Arabidopsis thaliana: one gene and its partners. The protein of the gene in region 1 interacts with the protein of each later gene in a biochemical or structural test. Each region holds a gene or a part of one and is shown in the gene's direction. Other genes may lie near its edges. The genes, in order: FLS2, RPM1, UBQ3 and RPS2.

What was found.
Region 2: the proteins of FLS2 (region 1) and RPM1 form a complex in vitro, tested with the Arabidopsis thaliana proteins (one study listed by BioGRID).
Region 3: the proteins of FLS2 (region 1) and UBQ3 form a complex in vitro, tested with the Arabidopsis thaliana proteins (one study listed by BioGRID).
Region 4: the proteins of FLS2 (region 1) and RPS2 form a complex in vitro, tested with the Arabidopsis thaliana proteins (one study listed by BioGRID).

What each region holds. Positions count from the first base shown.
Region 1 is NC_003076.8:18,789,569-18,796,430, forward strand, and holds FLS2 (Leucine-rich receptor-like protein kinase family protein), read left to right. Parts: upstream 1-2,006; 5' UTR 2,007-2,233; coding exon 2,234-5,372; intron 5,373-5,456; coding exon 5,457-5,839; 3' UTR 5,840-6,340; downstream 6,341-6,862. Other genes in the region: RWA1 (O-acetyltransferase family protein), read right to left, coding at 6,793-6,862.
Region 2 is NC_003074.8:2,225,336-2,231,564, reverse strand, and holds RPM1 (NB-ARC domain-containing disease resistance protein), read left to right. Parts: upstream 1-2,009; 5' UTR 2,010-2,540; coding exon 2,541-5,321; 3' UTR 5,322-5,710; downstream 5,711-6,229. Other genes in the region: NSN1 (GTP-binding family protein), read left to right, coding at 73-246, 345-559, 654-918, 1,031-1,210, 1,312-1,523, 1,619-1,963.
Region 3 is NC_003076.8:771,127-775,226, reverse strand, and holds UBQ3 (polyubiquitin 3), read left to right. Parts: upstream 1-1,713; 5' UTR 1,714-1,955; exon of another isoform or gene 1,956-2,330; coding exon 2,331-3,251; 3' UTR 3,252-3,567; downstream 3,568-4,100. Other genes in the region: AT5G03250 (Phototropic-responsive NPH3 family protein), read right to left, coding at 1-95, 208-277, 578-636.
Region 4 is NC_003075.7:13,222,446-13,228,376, forward strand, and holds RPS2 (NB-ARC domain-containing disease resistance protein), read left to right. Parts: upstream 1-1,892; 5' UTR 1,893-2,150; coding exon 2,151-4,880; 3' UTR 4,881-5,427; downstream 5,428-5,931. Other genes in the region: CK1 (casein kinase 1), read right to left, coding at 5,440-5,688, 5,801-5,916.

The sequences.
Region 1 (6,862 bases):
ACTATAAATTCGAATATAGAGAAAATATGAAATTTTGTAAGTGTTATTAGACATCCAAATTTTAAAACCGCGTAAACTACACTACAATTTAAAATCGGAGTATGTAACCTACATAGAGCCTAACCACCTCCTAAGCCGTATTTAATAACATTGTTATATTATGTAAAGATATGATATATATCGTTAAGTAATATTATGTAGTGAAAATCCGTCACAAATCATAATAACTTGTAGTGATCAAACTTCTTGTATATAATCTACTTTGTTCTCGCGAGCACCTTAATCAATCATCCCATTTAAAAAATTTCTTTTTGCTATTAACATCTTAAATGTTAAATCTATCATTGAGCAATGTAACAGTTCTGTGTGAAGAAACAAGGAATCACTTACTTCTACATTGTCTCTTTACAAAGGAAATTTGGCACATGATAATGCTTCGGTTTGGGCAATCTCCTTATATCTTTGCAGACTTGTCTATTACCATAGGTAATCATATAAAAGTTATTATATATGAACAATGTTCCTATGGTAATAGAAATTCACATTTTATTAAAAAAACTGATACGAATAATTCAAAGAAATAAAATAACTTTTATATGATTGTCCATAAGATATAGTCAAAACGCAAAAGACTTTGCTCTAAGAAATATTAAAAAGAAAAACAACAAGACGAGGATTATTTCTTTTCAATAATTAAAACATTAGTATAAATACAATCACATGCTTAATGTAATAATGTGACAGTTTGGCCGAGTGGTCTAAGGCGCCAGATTTAGGCTCTGGTCCGAAAGGGCGTGGGTTCAAATCCCACAGCTGTCAATTTGTTTTTTTCTTTGACTCCTTTGTTCATCTTTATTTTAAAATCAATATAAACCCTTTTCGGACATTCTAAATATTTTGACCCAACCTAATGATATTCATTATTTGTCTAACGGGTCAACTTTCAAGTCTTCAAGTAAACATGATATGGAATTATATGGGTCAACTCCAAGTAAGAACAGTGCATGCATCTTGAAGACAAAATTGATTTTTTTTTTTGTTTTTAATTAATGGAAATTTTGAAATACTAATGGGTCAAGATGAGGTTGTCCAAATCAACTGATATCATATATGACCAGATTCCTCAATAGTCATTAGTCAATACAAAATCCATAATCTTTTTTAAAAATATAATCTTTTTATTTTAAATCGCCTATTTTTTTCCATTCATTTGTCCAATGTGAAAAGCCATAAATCATATATTAAGAAGTTGTGAATTGTGATCATAGGAGTAATATTTCTATCTGAACAAAAATTGAATTTTGTTTTGCTTTTTGTTGAAAGATAAATAAAATGTTTGGCAGATTGTTTGTACAGAACACAACTTGTTGATAAAACAAATTCCATCAAGACAGCTAATGAGCTTTTGATAGTCAGAGCTTTGAAGACGTGTTAATGAATTAAACTGATTAGACCTAAAACCAAATATTTAGAAAGAAAAAAATATGATAATTGTTATGTTATTTAATCAATAGTCAAATACTATGTTGAGTACCAATCATTTCAGTTTCAACGATTGCTACTCTTTTGACCAATAACAAAAAGGTTTTTATTTTTCATTTCTCAAACTCCATTTTTGTTTGTTTTTAGCATAAAAACAGCTAGAATGTGAGTTTCATATGTATTATATACTATAAGAAATCATATAAATTAACGACTAGAACATATTGTTTTCATTCTAGTGGTATATCTGAGTTTGACTAGAACGTTTGGAGGCAGATTAAAGTGATTTCGCCTTGTCAAAACTACTTTGTATATGTTATCAATCAATCGCTCAAAACTAAATCGGAAAAAAACTACATAAATAAGATATGGAAAATGATACTAACACAAACTAGTAAGTAAGTAGTCACTACATATTCTGGTCCCATGAATATGGCTTACATAGTACATACATTGTGAGATTAAATGAATATGATATATAATACAAGCATATAAGCATGTGCATGACTATGAAGTGGGAATACATTTAGTGCCTTTATATGCAACTTGACAGAATTACCAATTATGTGAATAGTGAAACTTATATTGCGTCTTGGCCTTTTCACATCCGTGACATGATCCCTCAAATCTATATCTTCTTGCGGCATATGCTTATATATAAACATATGACTTCGTCTATAGATTTATATCCAGATAATTAATTCTCTCATAATATCTTCTCCACAATTTCAACTCTTCTAAAGTCTAAACCATGAAGTTACTCTCAAAGACCTTTTTGATATTAACTCTCACCTTCTTCTTCTTTGGCATTGCACTAGCGAAACAGAGCTTTGAACCAGAGATCGAAGCTTTGAAATCCTTCAAGAATGGTATTTCCAACGACCCTTTAGGAGTATTATCAGATTGGACCATCATCGGTTCGTTACGACACTGTAATTGGACCGGAATCACCTGCGATAGTACCGGACATGTAGTCTCGGTTTCCTTGCTGGAGAAGCAACTTGAAGGTGTTCTGTCTCCAGCCATAGCGAATCTCACCTATCTCCAGGTTCTTGATCTCACTTCAAATAGTTTTACCGGCAAAATACCGGCTGAAATAGGAAAGTTAACCGAGCTTAACCAGCTTATTCTGTACCTAAACTATTTCTCTGGTTCGATTCCTTCTGGAATCTGGGAGCTTAAGAATATTTTCTATCTTGATCTTAGAAATAATTTGTTGTCCGGTGATGTTCCTGAGGAAATCTGCAAAACCAGTTCTTTGGTATTGATTGGGTTTGATTACAACAACTTAACCGGGAAAATACCAGAATGCTTAGGAGATTTGGTTCATCTCCAAATGTTTGTAGCAGCTGGTAACCATTTAACTGGTTCGATTCCGGTATCAATTGGTACTCTGGCTAATTTAACGGATTTAGACCTGAGTGGTAACCAGTTAACCGGAAAAATACCGAGAGATTTTGGAAATCTCTTGAACTTACAGTCTCTCGTTTTAACTGAAAACTTGTTGGAAGGAGATATACCAGCTGAGATCGGAAACTGCTCGAGCTTGGTCCAACTTGAGCTTTACGATAACCAGTTAACCGGGAAAATACCAGCTGAATTAGGGAATTTGGTTCAGCTGCAAGCACTCCGGATATACAAGAACAAACTTACTTCTTCAATTCCATCTTCATTGTTCCGGTTAACTCAGTTAACCCATTTGGGGTTATCAGAAAACCATTTGGTTGGACCGATATCAGAAGAAATCGGTTTTCTTGAGTCACTTGAAGTCCTCACACTTCATTCCAACAACTTCACAGGAGAGTTTCCACAGTCCATCACAAACTTGAGGAACTTGACAGTCCTAACGGTGGGGTTCAATAATATTTCCGGTGAGCTCCCGGCGGATCTAGGGCTTCTTACAAACCTTCGGAACCTTTCAGCGCACGACAATCTTCTTACCGGACCAATACCTTCCAGCATAAGTAACTGCACCGGTCTTAAACTCCTGGACCTGTCTCACAACCAAATGACTGGCGAGATCCCGCGGGGTTTCGGAAGGATGAATCTTACGTTCATTTCTATTGGGAGGAATCATTTCACCGGTGAAATTCCAGATGATATCTTCAACTGTTCAAACTTGGAAACTCTTAGTGTGGCAGATAACAACTTAACAGGAACTCTCAAGCCATTAATTGGGAAGCTTCAAAAACTCAGGATTTTGCAAGTTTCATATAACTCTCTCACTGGACCGATTCCTCGAGAAATCGGGAATCTGAAAGATTTGAATATCTTGTACCTTCACTCTAATGGTTTCACAGGGAGAATCCCGAGAGAGATGTCGAATCTCACTCTCCTCCAGGGGCTAAGGATGTATTCAAATGATCTTGAAGGTCCAATTCCTGAAGAAATGTTTGATATGAAGCTACTCTCAGTTCTTGATCTTTCCAACAACAAATTCTCAGGTCAAATTCCTGCCTTGTTCTCCAAGCTTGAATCGCTTACCTACTTGAGTCTTCAAGGAAACAAATTCAACGGGTCTATCCCTGCAAGCCTTAAGTCGCTTTCGCTTCTCAACACATTCGATATCTCCGACAATCTTCTCACTGGAACCATCCCTGGAGAGCTGTTAGCTTCTTTGAAAAACATGCAGCTTTACCTCAACTTCTCAAACAACTTGTTGACTGGAACCATCCCAAAGGAGCTTGGAAAGCTTGAAATGGTTCAAGAAATCGACCTTTCAAACAATCTCTTTTCTGGGTCTATTCCAAGATCTTTACAGGCCTGCAAAAATGTGTTCACACTGGATTTTTCGCAGAACAATCTCTCGGGTCATATACCAGATGAAGTCTTCCAAGGCATGGATATGATCATAAGCTTGAACCTTTCAAGGAACAGTTTCTCTGGAGAAATCCCTCAGAGCTTCGGGAACATGACGCATTTGGTCTCCTTGGATCTCTCTAGTAACAATCTCACTGGTGAAATTCCAGAGAGTCTCGCCAATCTTTCGACTCTGAAACATCTCAAACTAGCTTCAAACAACCTCAAAGGCCATGTTCCTGAATCCGGGGTGTTCAAAAACATCAACGCCTCTGATCTAATGGGAAACACAGATCTCTGTGGTAGCAAGAAGCCTCTCAAGCCATGTACGATCAAGCAGAAGTCGAGCCACTTCTCGAAGAGAACCAGAGTCATCCTGATTATTCTTGGATCAGCCGCGGCTCTTCTTCTTGTCCTGCTTCTTGTTCTGATTCTAACCTGTTGCAAGAAAAAAGAAAAAAAGATTGAAAATTCATCAGAGTCCTCATTACCGGATTTGGATTCAGCTCTGAAACTGAAGAGATTTGAACCAAAAGAGTTGGAGCAAGCAACAGATTCATTCAACAGTGCCAACATCATTGGCTCAAGCAGCTTAAGCACAGTGTACAAAGGTCAGCTAGAAGATGGGACAGTGATTGCAGTAAAAGTATTGAATCTAAAGGAATTCTCTGCAGAATCAGACAAGTGGTTCTACACAGAAGCTAAAACATTGAGCCAACTAAAACATCGAAACCTGGTGAAGATCTTAGGGTTTGCGTGGGAAAGCGGCAAAACGAAAGCTTTAGTGCTTCCATTTATGGAGAATGGAAACTTGGAGGACACCATTCACGGCTCTGCAGCACCGATTGGGTCGCTTTTAGAAAAAATCGATCTTTGTGTTCATATCGCAAGCGGAATCGATTATCTTCATTCTGGATATGGTTTTCCCATCGTTCATTGTGATCTGAAGCCAGCTAATATACTCCTTGACAGTGACCGCGTTGCTCACGTAAGCGATTTTGGAACTGCTCGGATTCTAGGTTTCCGCGAAGATGGAAGCACCACAGCTTCAACATCAGCCTTCGAGGGTACAATTGGATACTTAGCTCCAGGTAAATTACTCACAACACTTAATTTTCAAAACCCTAATTATGCCATCGACTTACTTGAAATACACTCTTATTTTTCATGAACAGAGTTTGCTTATATGAGGAAAGTGACAACAAAAGCCGATGTATTCAGCTTCGGGATCATAATGATGGAGCTGATGACGAAACAGAGACCAACTTCGTTGAATGATGAAGATTCACAAGACATGACTTTGCGCCAATTGGTGGAGAAATCGATTGGAAATGGAAGAAAAGGGATGGTTAGGGTTCTTGATATGGAACTCGGGGACTCTATTGTTTCTCTGAAACAGGAAGAGGCTATTGAAGACTTTCTGAAGCTTTGTTTGTTCTGTACAAGCTCTAGACCTGAAGATCGACCTGATATGAACGAGATTCTTACACATCTGATGAAACTTAGAGGCAAAGCGAATTCATTTCGAGAAGATCGTAACGAGGATCGAGAAGTTTAGCAGCAAAGCTTTTTTGATGACATTTTTTCGACTTTGCCAAACTCTGTTACGAAGGTTGAATACTTTGGACGTAAAACGTTCTGATTTTGCTTTTCGTTATGTATTTCTGTTTTATATAAGGTTGAAATTTGGTTTTGATGAACTTTTTCATATACAAATGCATTAGGCTACACATGGATACTATAGTTTCTTATTGCAGGCAGATCAGGAATAAGGTTCGTCAAGTTTTTGTCATCATGATGGAGATGACGTTTGTCCCTTCCATTTAATCATGAAACAATACCACTGCTAGTATCGGACAATAGGCAATCTCACGACGGTTATCGAGAACACAGAAGATGACTCAAAGATCAATGCCACACAAGACAATTGTGTAGACTTGCCAAGTAATAGCTGTGAAAACTAGAGTCATTACATTTTCATCTCCCCGGGTAATGTTTTCCATTCTCGGCTAGCGAACCGCAGAAATTGCAAGACTAGACTGATAGAAAACCATGTCAGTGACTGTTGAGAATGAATTCTTCTTTAAAACTTTGCAATTTCATATAATTCTTTAACATCACTATACATTTTTGGACGAACTACATATTGTTTGCTTAATCCTTACAAAACAAAATCTAAAGAATATAGCACAAAAAATTGAAAACTTTAAATCGGAGACAATTACTTCGCTTTTGTATGGCAATAGAGAAAAGTAGTTGAGCGATGTTGGTCTATGCGGTTCTTGGTTCTGCCTTTGGTGAACGTCCTTTGAAGCTGAATGTGCACAAGAAAATGATCAACAAAACTAACTTGTCTTTTTACTTATTTTCCTTTGCTTTGATGCGACCACAATGAAGAAACACAAAGAACAAACACTTGTTTTTGCCTGTAAATGACAGAAATCAACAAAGTTTTCGTTAGATTTTTTATGAGTGGATGGCCAATGAGAATGATTTGGGGACTCACGGTTTCTAACGATGAATCTGAAGAAGAACGAATGAGAAGCAATAGAGTGGAAGAGCGATGGCAATCCCAGCTATG
Region 2 (6,229 bases), on another chromosome or scaffold:
TTGGATACCTTCTTCACGCGTTTATGTGCTTTCTCTCTGCCTTTACATGCACTAATGTCTTTTGTTTCACAGATAACTCGGAGAGGGCTTTCTACAAGGAGCTAGTTAAAGTCATTGAATTGTCTGATGTCATTTTGGAGGTTCTTGATGCCCGTGATCCTCTTGGCACTCGTTGTACTGACATGGAGAGGATGGTGATGCAAGCCGGTCCCAATAAGCATCTTGTGTTGCTGCTGAACAAGATTGGTAAGTTCATATATTCAGTCTTTACTCGTGGACGTAATAAGTTGTTTGTTTACTCTGGGTGGTGTAATTAATTTTTGTAACTGATTCACTCTCTCCAGATCTTGTTCCCCGAGAGGCTGCTGAGAAATGGCTTATGTACCTTAGGGAAGAATTTCCAGCTGTTGCCTTCAAGTGTAGCACCCAGGAACAGAGATCAAACTTGGGTTGGAAATCATCTAAGGCATCAAAACCAAGCAATATGTTGCAGACGAGTGATTGTCTTGGAGCAGACACTCTTATCAAATTGTTGAAGAACTACTCAAGAAGTCATGAGGTTGGTTCCATAGTTTAAACTTTAATCATCCTACCTTAGCATCAAGTTATATCATTCAGTTTCAATTAAATCTTCCTTTGTTGTTCTTTGGCAGTTAAAAAAATCTATCACAGTTGGTATTATTGGACTGCCTAATGTCGGCAAGAGTAGTCTTATTAACAGTCTGAAGAGAGCGCATGTTGTCAATGTTGGTGCCACTCCTGGACTGACTAGATCTCTGCAAGAGGTTCACTTGGACAAAAACGTGAAGTTGCTGGATTGTCCTGGAGTTGTGATGTTGAAATCATCAGGAAATGATGCTTCCATAGCTCTCCGAAATTGTAAAAGAATCGAGAAGTTGGATGACCCAGTTAGTCCAGGTAATTGGATATAAGCTCAAGATAGAATCACACTTATTTTTGTGCTTTGTCTTTTAAAGGTTATAATCTGAGTGACCTAACTTGGAAATCTTCTGCTTTGTGAAAAAAATAGTGAAGGAAATTCTCAAGCTTTGTCCTAAAGATATGCTGGTGACTCTCTACAAAATCCCGAGCTTCGAGGCAGTTGATGATTTCCTTTACAAAGTCGCCACTGTAAGGGGTAAACTTAAAAAGGGTGGTCTTGTGGATATTGATGCTGCTGCCAGAATTGTTTTGCATGACTGGAATGAAGGTGCGGATCTTTTTTTGTTCCTCGTAAACTTGAAGCGTAAAAGCATTTTTGAAAACCAGTTTCTTAACTCATCATTGTCTCTAATATGAATGGTTATGCAGGTAAAATCCCATACTATACAATGCCGCCAAAGAGGGACCAGGGTGGACATGCAGAGTCAAAGATTGTGACTGAGCTGGCCAAGGATTTCAACATCGATGAGGTTTACAGTGGTGAATCCTCTTTCATTGGGAGCTTGAAGACGGTTAACGAATTCAACCCTGTTATTATTCCTTCAAATGGTCCTCTCAATTTCGATGAAACTATGATCGAGGTTGGTAACTTCTCTCGTGATTCCATTTGCTTGTAAATGACTCGGTCTGGATTTAATCTTTGTTTATGATGATGTATCACAAAAAAAAAAAACAGGATGAGTCTAAGACGCAGACGGAAGAGGAGGCTGAGCATGAGAGTGATGATGATGAGTCAATGGGAGGGGAGGAGGAGGAAGAGGCAGGAAAGACGAAGGAGAAATCAGAGACGGGGAGGCAGAACGTGAAGCTATACGCAGCGGAAAGCATGTTGAATACAAAGAAACAGAAAGCAGAGAAGAAGAAGAGGAAGAAAGCAAAGAAAGCAGGAGCTGATGAGGAGGATCTGATGGACGGAGATTATGATTTCAAAGTGGATTATAGGAAGAACAAAGATGGAGAAGACGAAGAATTCCAGATTGATGCTAAAATCCCAATGGCTGGACTTTTGCCTGAAGAATGAGTGATTGGAAACCACAACGTTTTTTTTTTTTTTTTTTTTTGTATTTGGCGTTTATGAGTCGGTCGGTTAAACTTTCTGATATATGTGCTTCATGAACTAGTAGTAATACTGAAGCGATTTTGATTTCTTTAATTAACGTTTCTTCTATTCCAATTCTGCTTTGCTTAACAAATATCTTAAGAACATTCAAAAATCATTGAGGTAAGTGTACTTCTTCGCCCTTCAGAAGAAAGTAATAATCTTTTACCCTTTCAGTTTCAGGTAACGAATGACGAAAACAACACCCGAGTTCAGTACATCAGATTTCTCTGTCTCTCTCTTGGAACTTCCAAACTCGACCATATCCGTCAAATTGAATTCCAAGTTGCAAATGTGAAAGCAGTTTAAACCCGTGTTGACTTTAACGCAAGTAAAGGACGTTGACTTTGTTGAGGTCCTTAAGGATAATTGATCAAAATGTTATGTGGCAGGCATGTAAGGTGTGAACCGAAAGCTTGGCTTTGCTCAAATTCAGCAAGTTCACCAAGAGAAACTAAATCAGTGAAGGAAAAAAGGTTCAAGCGAGACTCTGAGGAAGATGGCTTCGGCTACTGTTGATTTTGGGATCGGACGGATTCTTAGTGTCCTGGAAAACGAGACCTTGTTATTGTCAGGAGTCCATGGTGAGATTGATAAAATGAAGAAGGAGTTGCTGATCATGAAGTCCTTTCTTGAGGATACTCATAAACATGGTGGAAATGGATCCACAACAACAACAACTCAACTCTTCCAAACTTTTGTGGCAAACACGAGAGATTTGGCTTACCAAATCGAAGACATTCTCGACGAGTTTGGCTATCACATCCACGGTTATCGTAGCTGCGCCAAAATTTGGCGTGCGTTTCATTTCCCGAGGTATATGTGGGCGAGGCACTCGATAGCTCAAAAGCTAGGAATGGTTAATGTCATGATTCAATCCATTTCTGATTCCATGAAAAGGTACTATCATTCAGAAAACTACCAAGCAGCATTATTACCGCCTATTGATGATGGCGATGCAAAGTGGGTGAACAACATCAGTGAGTCATCTCTTTTCTTTAGTGAAAATAGTCTTGTAGGGATTGATGCACCCAAGGGAAAGCTCATCGGACGGCTTCTAAGTCCCGAACCTCAGCGGATTGTTGTCGCGGTGGTTGGGATGGGCGGTTCAGGGAAAACTACACTCTCAGCGAATATCTTCAAGTCTCAAAGTGTGCGGAGGCATTTTGAGTCTTACGCTTGGGTTACAATCTCGAAATCTTATGTGATTGAAGATGTGTTTAGGACCATGATCAAGGAGTTTTACAAAGAAGCAGATACACAGATTCCAGCTGAATTATACTCCTTAGGCTACAGAGAGTTGGTGGAAAAACTTGTGGAGTATTTGCAGTCGAAGAGGTACATTGTTGTGCTTGATGATGTATGGACCACTGGTCTATGGAGGGAGATAAGTATTGCTTTACCAGATGGTATTTATGGAAGTCGTGTTATGATGACTACTCGGGACATGAACGTGGCTTCTTTCCCATATGGAATTGGGAGCACAAAGCACGAGATTGAGCTCTTAAAAGAAGACGAAGCTTGGGTGCTTTTCTCCAACAAAGCTTTTCCGGCAAGTCTTGAGCAATGCAGAACGCAGAATTTGGAGCCGATAGCACGAAAATTAGTCGAGAGATGTCAGGGTTTGCCATTAGCTATTGCTTCTTTGGGAAGCATGATGTCAACCAAGAAGTTTGAATCAGAATGGAAGAAAGTCTACAGTACTTTAAACTGGGAACTGAACAACAATCATGAACTCAAGATTGTTCGAAGCATTATGTTCCTTAGCTTCAATGATTTGCCATACCCGCTTAAACGTTGTTTCTTATATTGTTCTCTTTTCCCTGTGAACTATCGGATGAAAAGAAAGAGGCTCATTAGGATGTGGATGGCACAAAGGTTTGTGGAACCGATCAGAGGAGTGAAAGCAGAAGAAGTGGCTGATAGTTACCTCAATGAACTTGTTTACAGAAATATGCTTCAAGTTATCTTGTGGAATCCTTTTGGACGACCCAAGGCGTTCAAGATGCATGACGTGATATGGGAGATTGCTCTATCTGTATCCAAACTTGAGAGGTTCTGTGATGTATATAATGATGACAGTGATGGTGATGATGCTGCAGAAACAATGGAGAATTACGGTAGTCGCCATTTATGCATTCAGAAAGAGATGACACCTGATAGTATACGTGCAACAAACCTTCACTCTCTTTTGGTTTGCTCTTCTGCTAAACACAAGATGGAATTACTTCCAAGTCTGAACCTTCTGAGAGCCTTAGACCTTGAAGACTCTTCCATCAGCAAGTTACCAGATTGTTTAGTAACTATGTTCAACTTAAAGTACTTGAATTTGTCCAAGACACAGGTGAAAGAACTGCCAAAAAACTTCCATAAACTCGTCAATTTGGAGACGTTGAACACAAAGCACTCCAAGATTGAGGAACTTCCTCTAGGGATGTGGAAATTGAAGAAGTTGCGATATCTCATTACTTTTCGCCGCAATGAAGGACATGATTCCAATTGGAATTATGTTTTAGGTACAAGGGTTGTTCCTAAAATCTGGCAGTTGAAGGATTTGCAAGTCATGGACTGCTTCAACGCAGAAGATGAGCTTATCAAAAATCTCGGGTGTATGACTCAGCTCACAAGAATAAGTCTTGTCATGGTTAGGAGAGAACATGGAAGAGACTTGTGCGATTCACTGAATAAGATTAAAAGAATTCGATTCTTATCTTTAACGTCGATTGATGAAGAGGAACCGTTAGAGATAGATGACCTGATCGCAACTGCAAGCATTGAGAAGCTCTTTCTTGCTGGGAAACTGGAGAGAGTACCAAGTTGGTTCAACACTCTTCAAAACCTTACCTATTTGGGTTTGCGTGGATCTCAGCTACAGGAAAACGCCATTCTCTCTATCCAAACGCTTCCTAGATTGGTATGGCTTTCATTTTACAATGCATACATGGGACCTAGGTTGCGTTTTGCACAAGGATTTCAGAATCTGAAGATTCTAGAGATAGTTCAGATGAAACATCTGACAGAAGTTGTTATAGAAGACGGTGCAATGTTTGAGCTTCAGAAGCTTTATGTCAGGGCTTGTAGAGGGTTAGAGTACGTACCAAGAGGAATTGAGAATCTTATAAATCTTCAAGAACTGCATTTGATTCATGTTTCTAATCAGTTAGTAGAACGCATTCGCGGAGAAGGGAGTGTGGACCGGTCAAGGGTTAAACACATTCCTGCGATTAAGCATTATTTCAGAACTGATAATGGCTCTTTCTATGTGAGCCTCTCATCTTAGGCGGCCAAGGCAAGCTTCATCATACAAGATACTGCACACTGTACTGTGAAAATCAGGGATGGATATTCACATAACTACTAAACGCCATGAGCTTACCAAACAGATTGATTGTCATGTGTTGTCTTTGAAAGTCAACAATCAGGTCTTCTCTTCACTCAAAGACAACATTTTTTTGCTGGTCTCATGAGTCAGTGCTAATGACTAAACAGCTCACTTCACAGCAGTTTCCACTGTTTTTTTTCGAAATTCATTTAAGTAAGATTTAATATGGTCAGCTGATTGTTCTGTAATTCTGTGTAAACATTACTTTGTTAAGACCTTAATATTGTTGACATTGTTATTTGAGTATCGGCTTCAACCAAGAAATTCCACTACCGTGTTAGTCTTCTAAATGAAAGTGGCTCATTCACAATCCCAAAAGTTAGGACCTTTACACTAATCGAAATAACCAGATACAGTTGGACTAAATACTTAATACTACTCCAAAACATTCCATTTTAAATTTCTCCTTAACTGATGGAAAAGTTTTGAAATTTTGAAAAGAAGAAAGTAAAAAAAATCTTGTTATCAACGATCCGCGGCGGTTAAAACGGAGATTATTATTGATGGATGGATATCTGGTCATTCGTGTTATCCACGTGCAACTAACGCACGTAAAAGACATACTAACCTCCCCGAAAATCGGATCCGGATCCGAAAATATCTGACCCGTTTTGAAGCGGTTTGACGAAAGACCGTTTTGGGCCTAGTCAATAGTAAAAATTAAAAACTCAAGGCTCTTTGGTGTCCCTTGGTATTACTATCGGCCTTTCCCGATGCTCTTTCTTCTTCATCTTGAAACTCGCGATTCCTTCTTCTCCTTCTAGGGTTTATTACTAAGGGTTTCTCTATCCTTAAATCTCATCTCT
Region 3 (4,100 bases), about 18 Mb from region 1:
ATCTCATCTAAGCTCAACACACAGCCTGATCCATCATCAGTTGAAGACTCTTCGATTAACCTCTCAAGAAGCCCACTTCTAGATAGTAACGGAAACTACACACAAATCAAGAACACACATTACACAGTTAGATCATCAAGCTTTCACATTTATGCAATTACATCAAAACTAGGACTAAATAAACAGAGAAGATAGAGAAAATTTAACCTTGTGGAGATGAAACTTCATGTCTCCAACTTCAATGGTAACATCACTCACGAGTCCTGTAGTGCAAAGCCTGTAAGACAAGAGAGAGACATAAACCACCACCCAAAACAGAATATACTTGTCCGTACAAAATTGATTATTGATGTCACAAATCAATCAGAGCTAAATTCCAAAAAAAATATGATCTTTGAAACTTGCATCAATAACTAACGATTCTAGGAAGAGCCCATTTCGATTTCAACAAAAAGATGAGAGCTTGATTACATATAAAATCAAGAGAAATTAACGACATTGAAGAGAATTCGATCTCGAAACCGGAAACAAAGACTTATAAGTCGATTAGTCTAATTCAATGCAGAAGAAAGAATACCAGGTTTGGCCTTCACGATGGAAAGCTTCGGATTTGGAGCCAAGTCTCATAAACGCCATTGTGGAAGAAAGTCTTGAGTTGGTGGTAATGTAACAGAGTAGTAAGAACAGAGAAGAGAGAGAGTGTGAGATACATGAATTGTCGGGCAACAAAAATCCTGAACATCTTATTTTAGCAAAGAGAAAGAGTTCCGAGTCTGTAGCAGAAGAGTGAGGAGAAATTTAAGCTCTTGGACTTGTGAATTGTTCCGCCTCTTGAATACTTCTTCAATCCTCATATATTCTTCTTCTATGTTACCTGAAAACCGGCATTTAATCTCGCGGGTTTATTCCGGTTCAACATTTTTTTTGTTTTGAGTTATTATCTGGGCTTAATAACGCAGGCCTGAAATAAATTCAAGGCCCAACTGTTTTTTTTTTTAAGAAGTTGCTGTTAAAAAAAAAAAAAGGGAATTAACAACAACAACAAAAAAAGATAAAGAAAATAATAACAATTACTTTAATTGTAGACTAAAAAAACATAGATTTTATCATGAAAAAAAGAGAAAAGAAATAAAAACTTGGATCAAAAAAAAAAACATACAGATCTTCTAATTATTAACTTTTCTTAAAAATTAGGTCCTTTTTCCCAACAATTAGGTTTAGAGTTTTGGAATTAAACCAAAAAGATTGTTCTAAAAAATACTCAAATTTGGTAGATAAGTTTCCTTATTTTAATTAGTCAATGGTAGATACTTTTTTTTCTTTTCTTTATTAGAGTAGATTAGAATCTTTTATGCCAAGTATTGATAAATTAAATCAAGAAGATAAACTATCATAATCAACATGAAATTAAAAGAAAAATCTCATATATAGTATTAGTATTCTCTATATATATTATGATTGCTTATTCTTAATGGGTTGGGTTAACCAAGACATAGTCTTAATGGAAAGAATCTTTTTTGAACTTTTTCCTTATTGATTAAATTCTTCTATAGAAAAGAAAGAAATTATTTGAGGAAAAGTATATACAAAAAGAAAAATAGAAAAATGTCAGTGAAGCAGATGTAATGGATGACCTAATCCAACCACCACCATAGGATGTTTCTACTTGAGTCGGTCTTTTAAAAACGCACGGTGGAAAATATGACACGTATCATATGATTCCTTCCTTTAGTTTCGTGATAATAATCCTCAACTGATATCTTCCTTTTTTTGTTTTGGCTAAAGATATTTTATTCTCATTAATAGAAAAGACGGTTTTGGGCTTTTGGTTTGCGATATAAAGAAGACCTTCGTGTGGAAGATAATAATTCATCCTTTCGTCTTTTTCTGACTCTTCAATCTCTCCCAAAGCCTAAAGCGATCTCTGCAAATCTCTCGCGACTCTCTCTTTCAAGGTATATTTTCTGATTCTTTTTGTTTTTGATTCGTATCTGATCTCCAATTTTTGTTATGTGGATTATTGAATCTTTTGTATAAATTGCTTTTGACAATATTGTTCGTTTCGTCAATCCAGCTTCTAAATTTTGTCCTGATTACTAAGATATCGATTCGTAGTGTTTACATCTGTGTAATTTCTTGCTTGATTGTGAAATTAGGATTTTCAAGGACGATCTATTCAATTTTTGTGTTTTCTTTGTTCGATTCTCTCTGTTTTAGGTTTCTTATGTTTAGATCCGTTTCTCTTTGGTGTTGTTTTGATTTCTCTTACGGCTTTTGATTTGGTATATGTTCGCTGATTGGTTTCTACTTGTTCTATTGTTTTATTTCAGATGCAAATCTTCGTGAAAACACTCACTGGCAAGACTATCACTCTCGAGGTTGAGAGCTCTGACACCATCGACAATGTTAAGGCAAAGATTCAGGACAAGGAAGGCATTCCTCCGGATCAGCAAAGATTAATATTCGCCGGTAAACAGCTAGAAGATGGCCGTACCTTGGCCGATTACAACATTCAGAAAGAATCAACCCTTCATTTGGTTCTCCGTTTAAGAGGTGGTATGCAAATCTTTGTCAAGACTCTGACTGGCAAGACCATTACTTTGGAGGTTGAGAGCTCTGACACTATTGACAACGTCAAAGCAAAGATCCAGGACAAGGAAGGAATCCCTCCGGATCAGCAGAGACTTATCTTTGCCGGTAAGCAGCTTGAAGACGGAAGAACTCTTGCTGACTACAACATTCAAAAGGAGTCGACCCTTCATTTGGTGCTTCGTCTCAGAGGTGGTATGCAAATCTTTGTCAAGACCCTCACTGGTAAAACAATCACCCTTGAGGTTGAGAGTTCAGACACCATTGACAATGTCAAAGCTAAGATCCAAGATAAAGAGGGAATTCCTCCGGATCAGCAGAGGCTTATCTTTGCCGGTAAGCAGCTCGAAGATGGACGCACCCTTGCAGATTACAACATCCAAAAGGAGTCGACACTTCATCTTGTGCTTCGTCTCCGTGGTGGTATGCAGATCTTTGTGAAGACCCTTACCGGAAAGACCATTACTCTGGAGGTTGAAAGCTCAGACACCATCGATAATGTCAAGGCTAAGATTCAGGACAAGGAAGGGATCCCACCAGACCAACAGAGACTCATCTTCGCTGGAAAACAGCTTGAGGATGGTCGCACACTTGCAGATTACAACATCCAGAAGGAGTCGACTCTTCACTTGGTTCTTCGTCTTCGTGGTGGAAGCTTCTAAGCTTTTTGTGATCTGATGATAAGTGGTTGGTTCGTGTCTCATGCACTTGGGAGGTGATCTATTTCACCTGGTGTAGTTTGTGTTTCCGTCAGTTGGAAAAACTTATCCCTATCGATTTCGTTTTCATTTTCTGCTTTTCTTTTATGTACCTTCGTTTGGGCTTGTAACGGGCCTTTGTATTTCAACTCTCAATAATAATCCAAGTGCATGTTAAACAATTTGTCATCTGTTTCGGCTTTGATATACTACTGGTGAAGATGGGCCGTACTACTGCATCACAACGAAAAATAATAATAAGATGAAAAACTTGAAGTGGAAAAAAAAAAAAACTTGAATGTTCACTACTACTCATTGACCATAATGTTTAACATACATAGCTCAATAGTATTTTTGTGAATATGGCAACACAAACAGTCCAAAACAATTGTCTCTTACTATACCAAACCAAGGGCGCCGCTTGTTTGCCACTCTTTGTGTGCAATAGTGTGATTACCACATCTCCACATTCAATATATTCCCTGAATTATCTGACGATTTTGATGGCTCACTGTTTTCCCAAGTCTTGAATTGTCTTCTGTGCGCCAGTCAAATGCATATGTGTTGAGTTTATCTTTTAAATATCAAGCTTTTGTTTTTAACTTTTGTTTGTAACCAAAAACTCACAGTAGGAGTTTGATCACATAATTTTATGTTTGCCTTTGCAATTTCTAGTGAGTCTTTGATTAAAAGCTTGAAAAGAAAATGCAGCCAAGCTTACCAAGTAAGTTATGTGTATTAACCAGAGGAAGAGAGAATCTTGCAAAATTTCAACAAACACAAAAAGAAGTATTACTACGATTGGTGGAGAAA
Region 4 (5,931 bases), on another chromosome or scaffold:
ACTTCCTATATTCAACATTTTTTTTAAAAAAAATGCTTTTATCATTTCTTATTTTTTTAACAAACATAAAGTTTTTTGGTTTTTTTTTTCTTTGGGAGAAATATATTTCTTTTTTGTTTGTCAAACAAAATAAAATATGTTTGCTTTTAACTTTAGTTAGGTCATCAGTTTAATGGATTTTATATTTTCATAAAGATGACTTTCATTAAATGACGTGTCGTAGTCCGAGTTAAATCTTGTATTGTTTTGCAATTATTTTATTTGTCATATAGTTTTCAATCTAAATAAATAGAGTTTGAATTACGAAAACATTATTCGTAATTCCTAATCATTGGACTAAAAAACACCAAACATAATATACCATTTAGATATTCATAGATTTAAATAAAAATTTTAAATTTGTGTCATTTTCAGAATAAGAACAATACTTTGTCCTTTAGATAAGAATTCAATGTTTTATATTCGGGAAAAATGAAAGACCACCGGTAAAATATCTAAATAATTGTTATTTAAGGGGTACGTTTCATTATTCATCTAATTATTTATCTTGAAAACCATTTTTGGTCAAACTCAAAACCAAAACCATTATGAAGTTATCGTCTCATTTATTTATGTGACCAAAAATAATAACTGAATCTTAGTTGTTAGAAAAATTGGTCTTTGTAGTTTCATACAAAAAATCAAGAAAAGAGATTTGTCGTGCAATTATAAAAATACGTTACAATTATATAAAGCTTTTTCAAATTCCAGTATATAATTTTCTTCTCAATTTATCCTTAAGGGAAATGAAGAGTTGGTCATGGAAGTCCATTAAATTCGACCAAATTTTTAGTTTTTTTTATTGACCAGAAAAGACAGTACAAAACATAAAATTATTGTTGTCGCAGTATATATATAAAATAAAAAGATGATTCCGAAGGTATTTTGATGGATAGACTCATGGACATAATTATGCAACGACCCAAAGAACATGAAAGAATCCGTCCAATTTTTTAAAATAAAATAAAAATGTGAATAGGTCCCACGTTTAGCAGAAAACAAAAACCGGTGGATGGTCGACACGTAGACGAAGAAAATGGGAAGGAGAGAGGGTGACGTGTACGGTTTAAGATGTGTTAGTTGGGTGGCGGGAGAGATTTGATCGAAAGAAAAAAAGGTTCATTGCACTGACAAAGACAGGTCCCCCTTTTATATTATTTTTCTTTCGTCCCATTAAATTCCGTAAATATCTTGTCTTTAAACTCTCTTTTTTCCTCTCCTCATTATTATTCTATTTTCTCTAATATCTCAATAAATATTTATTCGTCAACAGATAGATAAAAAAGAAGTATTTATTCATGTTCCATATGTTTGATGCCACTTGTGCGGTTTTCTTTGGACAATGTGTAATGATATGTTATTCATATGGGAGATGTGTGAAAGTGGGCTTTGGATGATGGGCAAGAGACAAAATACCCAAGACACCTCAAATACAATGTACCAATCATCTACCGTTTTTTTTTTACAAATTATTACAAAAGTAGAAAAAACATTGATTTTTTATTGAAAGCTATTTCTTTTAGATAAACTGAGAAGAAAGCCGAGACAAATATGAACACTAGTAATTTATTTTGTTTAATGTGTGATTAATTGAATTTGTTAGCTTTCCTTGCGATTGCGGGCAAAGTGGATAAGAGAAGTAGAAGTAGGTTTGTTCTAACTCGTAATAAAGTCACAGAACTAATTCTAAAGAACGGTACATATATCATCATTCATAAGTACTTGATGTCTCCCATTTTCGGTGAAACACTTTACTTGACCAGTCTTTTTAATATGCAACAAATCTTGTATATATTCAACATAAAAAAAATGCACCATCATTGGAATTGTTGACCCAACAAAAAAACCCTATAGGCATTAAAAGGCTCTTAGAGGGCCAATTTTGTTATCGGGCCTTCACTTGGCCAGTAGAAATTACAAGCATGCAAACAACAGTTCGAGACTTCGAGGAAGATTCCTATCTCTCTCTACTCGTTTCTTGAACCAAGTCATACAAGCAAGCAAGACAGCTTTATTAAAGTTGACTTTACTTTAATCTTTATGAGTCAACACCTCATCTTTATTAGTTAGTTAGCTCAGACAAGTAAAAGAAAGAGCGAGAAATCATCGAAATGGATTTCATCTCATCTCTTATCGTTGGCTGTGCTCAGGTGTTGTGTGAATCTATGAATATGGCGGAGAGAAGAGGACATAAGACTGATCTTAGACAAGCCATCACTGATCTTGAAACAGCCATCGGTGACTTGAAGGCCATACGTGATGACCTGACTTTACGGATCCAACAAGACGGTCTAGAGGGACGAAGCTGCTCAAATCGTGCCAGAGAGTGGCTTAGTGCGGTGCAAGTAACGGAGACTAAAACAGCCCTACTTTTAGTGAGGTTTAGGCGTCGGGAACAGAGGACGCGAATGAGGAGGAGATACCTCAGTTGTTTCGGTTGTGCCGACTACAAACTGTGCAAGAAGGTTTCTGCCATATTGAAGAGCATTGGTGAGCTGAGAGAACGCTCTGAAGCTATCAAAACAGATGGCGGGTCAATTCAAGTAACTTGTAGAGAGATACCCATCAAGTCCGTTGTCGGAAATACCACGATGATGGAACAGGTTTTGGAATTTCTCAGTGAAGAAGAAGAAAGAGGAATCATTGGTGTTTATGGACCTGGTGGGGTTGGGAAGACAACGTTAATGCAGAGCATTAACAACGAGCTGATCACAAAAGGACATCAGTATGATGTACTGATTTGGGTTCAAATGTCCAGAGAATTCGGCGAGTGTACAATTCAGCAAGCCGTTGGAGCACGGTTGGGTTTATCTTGGGACGAGAAGGAGACCGGCGAAAACAGAGCTTTGAAGATATACAGAGCTTTGAGACAGAAACGTTTCTTGTTGTTGCTAGATGATGTCTGGGAAGAGATAGACTTGGAGAAAACTGGAGTTCCTCGACCTGACAGGGAAAACAAATGCAAGGTGATGTTCACGACACGGTCTATAGCATTATGCAACAATATGGGTGCGGAATACAAGTTGAGAGTGGAGTTTCTGGAGAAGAAACACGCGTGGGAGCTGTTCTGTAGTAAGGTATGGAGAAAAGATCTTTTAGAGTCATCATCAATTCGCCGGCTCGCGGAGATTATAGTGAGTAAATGTGGAGGATTGCCACTAGCGTTGATCACTTTAGGAGGAGCCATGGCTCATAGAGAGACAGAAGAAGAGTGGATCCATGCTAGTGAAGTTCTGACTAGATTTCCAGCAGAGATGAAGGGTATGAACTATGTATTTGCCCTTTTGAAATTCAGCTACGACAACCTCGAGAGTGATCTGCTTCGGTCTTGTTTCTTGTACTGCGCTTTATTCCCAGAAGAACATTCTATAGAGATCGAGCAGCTTGTTGAGTACTGGGTCGGCGAAGGGTTTCTCACCAGCTCCCATGGCGTTAACACCATTTACAAGGGATATTTTCTCATTGGGGATCTGAAAGCGGCATGTTTGTTGGAAACCGGAGATGAGAAAACACAGGTGAAGATGCATAATGTGGTCAGAAGCTTTGCATTGTGGATGGCATCTGAACAGGGGACTTATAAGGAGCTGATCCTAGTTGAGCCTAGCATGGGACATACTGAAGCTCCTAAAGCAGAAAACTGGCGACAAGCGTTGGTGATCTCATTGTTAGATAACAGAATCCAGACCTTGCCTGAAAAACTCATATGCCCGAAACTGACAACACTGATGCTCCAACAGAACAGCTCTTTGAAGAAGATTCCAACAGGGTTTTTCATGCATATGCCTGTTCTCAGAGTCTTGGACTTGTCGTTCACAAGTATCACTGAGATTCCGTTGTCTATCAAGTATTTGGTGGAGTTGTATCATCTGTCTATGTCAGGAACAAAGATAAGTGTATTGCCACAGGAGCTTGGGAATCTTAGAAAACTGAAGCATCTGGACCTACAAAGAACTCAGTTTCTTCAGACGATCCCACGAGATGCCATATGTTGGCTGAGCAAGCTCGAGGTTCTGAACTTGTACTACAGTTACGCCGGTTGGGAACTGCAGAGCTTTGGAGAAGATGAAGCAGAAGAACTCGGATTCGCTGACTTGGAATACTTGGAAAACCTAACCACACTCGGTATCACTGTTCTCTCATTGGAGACCCTAAAAACTCTCTTCGAGTTCGGTGCTTTGCATAAACATATACAGCATCTCCACGTTGAAGAGTGCAATGAACTCCTCTACTTCAATCTCCCATCACTCACTAACCATGGCAGGAACCTGAGAAGACTTAGCATTAAAAGTTGCCATGACTTGGAGTACCTGGTCACACCCGCAGATTTTGAAAATGATTGGCTTCCGAGTCTAGAGGTTCTGACGTTACACAGCCTTCACAACTTAACCAGAGTGTGGGGAAATTCTGTAAGCCAAGATTGTCTGCGGAATATCCGTTGCATAAACATTTCACACTGCAACAAGCTGAAGAATGTCTCATGGGTTCAGAAACTCCCAAAGCTAGAGGTGATTGAACTGTTCGACTGCAGAGAGATAGAGGAATTGATAAGCGAACACGAGAGTCCATCCGTCGAAGATCCAACATTGTTCCCAAGCCTGAAGACCTTGAGAACTAGGGATCTGCCAGAACTAAACAGCATCCTCCCATCTCGATTTTCATTCCAAAAAGTTGAAACATTAGTCATCACAAATTGCCCCAGAGTTAAGAAACTGCCGTTTCAGGAGAGGAGGACCCAGATGAACTTGCCAACAGTTTATTGTGAGGAGAAATGGTGGAAAGCACTGGAAAAAGATCAACCAAACGAAGAGCTTTGTTATTTACCGCGCTTTGTTCCAAATTGATATAAGAGCTAAGAGCACTCTGTACAAATATGTCCATTCATAAGTAGCAGGAAGCCAGGAAGGTTGTTCCAGTGAAGTCATCAACTTTCCACTAGACCACAAAACTAGAGATTATGTAATCATAAAAACCAAACTATCCGCGATCAAATAGATCTCACGACTATGAGGACGAAGACTCACCGAGTATCGTCGATATAGAAACTCCAAGCTCCAGTTCCGATCAGTGAAGACGAACAAGTTTATCAGATCTCTGCAACAATTCTGGGAATCGTCACCTCAGATTAGACCTCCAGTAAGAAGTGAGAAAGCATGGACGACGACTGTGAAGAATTGAGCTAATGAGCTGAACCGGATCCGGTGAAATTGCAGAACCGGATCGGAGAAGAAGAATTTTGCATTTGTGCATCTTTATTTTTAATTGTTACGTTTGAGCCCCAATAATCATAGATATTGTAGTGAAGACCAAATTTCATGGTGGATCAATCAAATTGTATTTTCAAATTTTCGTAGTGTAATAACGGAAAAAGGAATAAAAAGGTCACTGAGTAAAATTAATGTATCAGTGGGGATGGTGTTCGTCCGAGACTTGAAGATTATCGATGCCTTTAACTACTGATTCGTAGTGTCTTCTTGTGGATTTCCCAGCCTCCCCAGGAGAGTTTCTCGGGATCACGCCGCGGCTGACGTCACCTGTACGGCTTCTCTGCAACAACTCCTCGCTGCCTGGAAAATTGTCCCGGCTGCCACTTACTGCAGTTACTCTCCTCGATGATCCTGCTGATTGTGCAAACAACGAGGAGCTCGGGATCTGCATCCAAAAGAAATTGAACAAAGTTTTGATACTTTTAGCCACTAAATCACATATGACCCAAACTCATGTTTGCAGGTGAGAGAGATAGCAAATGCAGAGAGATTCATACCATGGAGTCTCTAGCACTTGAGGATGTCGGTTGGTTCGAAATATTCCCTGAGTTATCAAGAGCCCCTGAAACTCTCCGTCGAGATGATTCCATATGTGGTCGCCCTTCTTCCTCCCCTTGGATTCAACAAT